Linked DNA regions of Drosophila melanogaster. The protein of the gene in region 2 interacts with the protein of the main gene of each other region in a pairwise test. Each region holds a gene or a part of one and is shown on either strand. Other genes may lie near its edges. The genes, in order: CG14424 and CG15296.

Evidence for each region.
Region 1: the proteins of CG15296 (region 2) and CG14424 interact in a two-hybrid assay, tested with the Drosophila melanogaster proteins (one large-scale study listed by BioGRID).

The regions. Positions count from the first base shown.
Region 1 is NC_004354.4:2,925,343-2,929,146, reverse strand, and holds CG14424 (uncharacterized protein), read left to right. Parts: upstream 1-1,888; 5' UTR 1,889-1,977; coding exon 1,978-2,038; intron 2,039-2,367; coding exon 2,368-3,098; 3' UTR 3,099-3,263; downstream 3,264-3,804.
Region 2 is NC_004354.4:10,565,317-10,568,410, reverse strand, and holds CG15296 (uncharacterized protein), read left to right. Parts: upstream 1-1,819; 5' UTR 1,820-1,852; intron 1,853-1,912; 5' UTR 1,913-1,922; coding exon 1,923-2,432; 3' UTR 2,433-2,569; downstream 2,570-3,094.

The DNA.
Region 1 (3,804 bases), 7.6 Mb from region 2:
ATAGATTGATTGCAAGTCAAGTGAATTCCCCGAATTCACTAGTAATTTCCGCTCTGCGATTTCTTTTCATCGAATGTGGATCAGTGTGCTAATTTTTGGGAATATTTCTTAGACGCGCTCCAAAAATAGAACTTTCCCTACAACAGTAACTTTCCAAAATATGTTGACCCCGCAAATGATTGGGTGAGATGTGCTGACCCCGCCATGGGGGCAACTTTCTTTGCCATATACATAGCTAGAAACCACACACTTTGCTAATGAGTATTTACGATCTTTTTATGCATTTCCATTAGCATCAAATAACTTGGCTGGGATCTCTTTTGCTCGCCCAGCTCTTCGAGCTTATGAATACATTGCGTTCTTTTTCGCATAATTTGGTTATTAAAACATTTGTTTATGTCGCCCATAATGGGCGGCAAATATGTTTTCCTTTTTTTTTCCCCCAGTCCGCCCTTGTCATTAGAAAGAACTGCCAACGGTAGCTGTGGAAAATTTAAATAATTGCCGCGGCAATAACATAAATTAGATAAACCATCGGAGAGGCTGGCAAAAAAAACATGGAGTTCGAAAAAAATACAGCACATAAATTAATCATACCACCCGTGGTCAGTGGCCCAAATTCGGAATTGAGTAGGGCTGAGGAAATCGATTGGTCTCCAATTTCAGCCACTATTGAAGGCATTCAATTAACATTTAATATCGGGAATAGCTCGATGTACCCGCTCTGTGAAAATTATTGTTCTTTACAATTGTTTTGCAAGCCGAAAATAATGGTAATATTTGAAGGAAAATGCAAAAGCAATTGCAATTTATTTTAATTCAGATAGTTGTTTCTTACGATCTTGCATTATTTTGCAGGCGGACTGTGATTTAAATTTAAAGTTCTCTATAGCAAAACTCTTTTGGCCAATACATTTACACTTTTACAGCCAATTTTTAGGCGCATTTTAAATGCTATTTTCAAAATAGCTTTAATTTTGCATAGGTCCTAAACAAAAGGAAGATTATTGATTTAAATTAGCCAACAATAGAAGAACACAAAAAAGAGAGCAGACACTCATAAATTCCATAAAACCATAATCCGTCATGCCATTATTTCGCGCAGCTTATCACTAATAGTTCGATAGATTAGCCACTTAATCTCTGGCACTAAGTTGAGCCTGCTTTCAATGCAGAGAATGGCGGAGAAAAGAATAAATTTCGCACTATGGACTCGATCCACTTGATTGATTTAAATGCTCGTTCCTCGATCCGAATGGGGAACACATGCTGGCTGGCCAAAGAATATCTTTGTATATGGCTATATGGCAGACAGGCAGGCAAATGAATGTGGCCCAAATAAGCCTCGAACTCTGACATCTGCGGGGAAGAACAGTGAGACCTCGCCCACTTCGGACATTGACAAATGGAAACGGTTTGACTTATTGAAAATCTCACTTTTGACCTCAAAATTGGCTCAAGAATTCGCCAGACGGTTTTTGTATTTTTCCGTATTTCTCCAGGCGACCCAAAATGCAAATTTCTCGATTTTGGTAAAGAGTCAAATGCAACTGGAAATGGAAATGTAGCCACCAGAAGTCAACGTTCTGCGATCTCTGGGATGTTAGGAGTTTTTGGGTTCTCTGCTTTTTGGGTTTTCTATTACTGGTTTTTGTGCATAAATCAGTCGACGGACATTTGCATAGTTTAATAATTTGCCAATCGTCCAAGTCCCCACCAATTTCGCTACATTTTACTTTGTTCTGCTGCCTGGCCACCTAATTTCTTTTGTTTTTCGTGTGATTTTTATGTGTCTACGCTGTTTTGCCTGCTTTTCGCCGGCCAGGTGAATGTTCCTTCCCTGTATAAAATGTCTTTGCCGGGCACTTGATGGACCATTTAATAGAGGCCCTCGTCCAGCGACAGACCCAAGCCCAAGTCCAAGTCCAAGTCCACATCAAATCCAAGTTCACAAGAAGATCCCATATATACATCATTATGGCAATTAAGTTGGTAGCCCTTTTGACCATCGGACTGGCAATCTTTGCCGCGTGCGAAGGTGAGTTGGTTGGTGATTTAGGAGACGAAAAATAATCTTTGATGAATTATGTTCGCTTTTCCAATATCCATCAGTATCATACATTCTCTTCGAAATCATAATTAAGTGACGGTTATTAATTAATAAATTGCTTTCATAGTTTTTGAGAAACAAGCAATTTTCATAGTTCTTTGTTAATAATGACAGACTTTTGTTGAAGTGCATTGACTTTTTTTTAATATGTGTTCCTAATATACGATGATATTAAAAGCTAAACTAGTTCGTCAGGGCGAATTTAAACCATTTCTGCCAACCCTATTTCCTAACCCCATGTCTTTGTATCCCATTAGCCCGCCATGTGAGCGGACACCATCGCAGGCAGCATTTTGAGCAGCGTGCCCTCATAGCGAAGCCCCACAGTGGTCCCCAGGGACGAGTCTTCCCCGGTGCCGTGGCCATTAAGAAGCTGGTTCTGCTTAAGTTCAAGAAGATCGTGCCCATCTCTCTGATCCTGCTGAAGTCAAGCAACGAGAACGAGGCCGAGCTGGTGCCCGTCTATCCCACCGATCAGATTCCCGAGAACGTTCAGTTCATCCCGACACCCAATGGAATTTCCGGTCACAAGGATGTCCAGGCCATCGCCATTCCTGCCGAGCTGCACGACCAGCTGCAGATCAACGGTCTGTCCAACCTGGAGAACATCGAGGCTCTGCTGCAGAGCAGCTCGATCTCGGCTGCCGACAATGAAGGCGAGGCCCCCGTGGGCAACAGCATTGCCGTAGCCCAGCCCGAGGATGTGGTACTGGAGCAGCCAGAGAACGATGAGGATCAGCTGTTAGACGGAGCCGCTCCAGTCGCCGCTCCTGTAGCCGTCGCTCCCGCCGCCCTGCGCCGCCTATCCGCCGACGAGCTGCTCCGCTCCGGCGTGCGCAACTCTGCCCAGCAGCAGCAGACCAGCGTGGAGGAGATACCCCTGCTTCTGTACTCCGCCAACGAGGGCTCCTCCTCCGCCGGAAACTCGGGACGTCGCTTTGTGGCCGCCGCTCCGGCACAGCGCCGTCGCCAGCAGTTCTACAACTAGGATCCTTTAATTTAAACAAGCAACCTATCCAAACTTCCACATTCCTTCTCTCGATGGCTGTCACACGGGCTTCACTGTACTAGGTGTACTTACACTACCACTGGCTATTCTACATTTTTTTTTTAGACTGAACTGAATATAAATTAACGTTATGAGCGAAATGACAAAAGAAGGGACTTGTGCTTCCGGGTGGCGAAGGGTCTTCAGTGGGCCCTGGGGTAAAAAGGCCACACTTGGATAAATTGGGGGTCAAAGAAGAACCTTTAAAAAGAAAAAAGTTGTCTCAATGGTAAACCAACCAATTTATTACAACAAAAAGCACTGGTTTTAAAAGGTTCAATTAATCTAAGTTTTATGTTTATAAACATTTAAATATCCACCCCTTTTTCGAGTGTCGCCAAGTAGATGGGCAGATCCTTGTTTGGGGCGCTGCTTATCAGGCGACTGCAGTTATCAGGCCTTTGTGCTCGGGCTTTGTGCCGCTGACGTGACAAGTCCTGTCTGTGTCTCGTTTCGTACTCGGCCTCGTCCTCGACTTTATCCTCATCCCCATCCTCAGTTTCAGTCTCAGTCTCAGTTTCGGTTTCGGTGTCCCGATCCCAGTCCAAATCGCAGTCCCAAAGAGTCCTCGTGTGGCAGCCTGCCAGCAATTTTGAGCCAACAAACAAAGCGGCCACAAAACACATGGCACAAATTTTGCTTAGGC
Region 2 (3,094 bases):
TTACACTTGCGCTTTTCACAGATCCACACACATAAACTCTGCTCACATGACTACCAAATTTTTCTTAGCCAGTACCGCAAAAAACTCCAACATATTTTCATTTTCATGGTCAAAGTGTCAGTTGAATGGGTGGTTTTTTTTTTTTTTTTTTTTTTTTGGGTGGCTAAACCAGACCAAGGGAATGGACAAATGAATGAAAAATTGTAAATGCGAGTTAGGACCCGTGCAAAATATGCAAATGAAAGCTGCTGTCTCCCGTATTCATTTCCTTTACTCGTCTTATTTTTTGTTTTATCTTTTGCTGGCATACCCAAAAGTTGAGCCCGCAAATCTTGATTTAATTTCCGGCTATTAAGCTGGAAGGGAAAATTCTGGGCTGGCGCATAGTTGTGGGCACAAAAAGGGAAAGTAGTGAAGCAGCTCATTAGGATCACAAAAGGAGTCACGTATTCGGTATGGTTTGTTCCTTTTTTTTTTCTAGGATGCTTGTAATGAATTGGGCACATAAGACTAGTGAAACCTATTCATATTTTAGTTAAAACTACATCTAAATTTACCAACTAATGTTTGAAATAAGATAATCCTTATCTAGCATAATCCTTATCTTCAGTGCAATAATGGCGCAAGGAAATTCATGTTTTCAGAGGCTTTAATCCATTCAGCCGCAATTCCACGCCTTGCACCTCGGCCACGCAGGACCCATTTATTCCCGGGCTTTATGACTCTGCCAATGAATGGATACACAGGCACAGGATGTGTCCTGGCCAAGGACCCTTTTGACCCCACCTTTGCCGGCCACTCTATTATTTATTTATAGAAAGTTGGCAGACTCACGCCAAAGGGGCTAAGAATTTGGTCCTTTGCTGCTTGGCCGCCTTCATTCTGTGACAAATGAATTTGGGTCAGAAGTTGTGCAAATTAAAAAAAAAAAAAAAAAAAAAAAACCGAAGAGAGAAGAGAAGAGAAGCTTGGTCATTTGGCGGGTGTCAAAGTTCCTTCAAACAGGACCGGAAGATTCGTCTCGCCTTTGACTCGCCTGAGCGACATTCAACTGGTTTTCAAGTGCTGAACCGAATTGCAGTTTTATTTCCATTCACGTAGCTCCACACACGGAATGTGCTCCTTTCCCAAAATAACAAAGAAGTAAAGAATGGTTGTCGGCGGCTGTAGCGACTAACTAACTACCCATTGACGTACTACCACAATTAAACGCTTTCTTTGTGTCTACTTTGTGTCTTTTACAAACAAATAACAAACACAATTCTGTAATTAGCTAATGAGCAGTTATATTATTTTGATTGTACACTACACGTATACAATATCCCAATATGCTCCACAAAAAAAGAGGGGTGCAAAGGGCACGTTAAAAAAAGGGGACACCAAAAATGTTACAAAAGATTTACACCATCCAAAACCTCAACGCCATCTCCGCATCCGCAATCGACGCCTCCTTCTTTCTGCTTGTGGGCAATACCATTACTTTTTCAGTTTGCTGGTTTGAGTAATGGATTAGATTTTTACTCACTTGTTTTGGGTTTCCGTGCTACCGCTATTGGTTGGATAGTGTATTCGTTTTTTATAGCACGCCGCCCACACCCCCCAAAAAAAAAAAGGATAACACCGCCGTTGATGAAGGGATGCTAGTGGGAAACTAAAAAGAACCCACAACTCTTGTCTCACCTAAAAACTTTAGTTCATGGTTTTGAAAAAAAAGAAAAAAAAAAAGGCGAAAGATTCTTAAAGTTGGCCTTTTCTTTTCATGTAAAATTCTTTTGTCCTCGTAGTAGGCCCATAATTTTAAATCGATTAGACTTATTCGAAAAGTCCTAAGGTACACACGTGTTTGTTGTGAGTACGAAATCCAAATCGATATCTTGGTAGTTTAATAATTAACAAACGTAATTTTGAATAGTTCTGCGATAATGTTTACTACACTGATGTATCGAACTGCAGCGGTCTCGATGACCGTCTACATAACCAATCGAGTTGGAGTTTGGGGTAAGACAGAGGAGACGGACCACCTGCTCGATCAGATCACCAATGGTCTTCAACCAGTATTTGGACTTCTGCGACGAACGCTGAAGTTAGATGAGAGCGATCTGAGCGTGGGTGAGCTATCCCGGAAATACTACAATGAAGGAGTGAAGGGCACTTTTCGTATCATTCGAAACATACCCAACTATTCGGAGGAATTGGCCGACGGTGCCAAGGTCACCTGTCTGGATTTGGTGGAAAAGGCCAAGGAATTGCGTCACAAAGAATATTCAAAATGGTGGAATACTTCCACAAATAAGGAGCAACTGATTATTGATTCACCAGATTCTGCAGCTGGCGATGGATCTTTCGAGGATTTAGTCCCATTTGAGAAACCAAAGACCGTAGATAATTTTGCGGGGGAAGAGGGAAATGGAGCTCTTGAACAGAGGGTTTAAACAACTGTCTATAAACAAGAAAAATCAGCCTTACTCTCTACAAAATCTTATTGTTAAATCTTTGAGTAAAGACCATGTATCATGTTAGAATCCCCAATACTCTGCAATAGGCCAATAAATATTTTAGATTGCCAAAGAATTCGCCTTTCGAATCATTACTCTAACCAAACAATTTGTTGAAAAATTATTAATCCAATTGGAATTAGCTGTAGAGCAGCAATAATCGTACTTATCAAAATTTTCCTCATTTTTTTCCTCAACTGTTTCTTCGCCCAGACACTCGGTAAACAGTGAGAATTGTCAACAGTCTATTAAAATGCCAGTCGAGCCGCATTGCCAACCGAAGTCAAGCCGTGCGAAAAAGGATTTTCCAACCCCATTCCCGGGAAAAGGAAAAGCTGAAGCCAAGCGAGCCAAACCAAATCAATCCAACCCTTTTTCCCATTTCCTTTATCCAGTTGTTTTGCGTGTTGCTTAACATGCGTTTTAATGTGACCCTTGCGGGTGCATAAAAAATTTAGTTTTTTTTTCACCTATGAAAATCCATTTTCTCTGGAATTTTCTTTATGGTTTGGATACCTGTTACTTGTAGCATTATATTGGTTTTTTTTTTGGTTACATCTACAATTAATATAAGAGACAAAATATCAAATTTAAAGTAT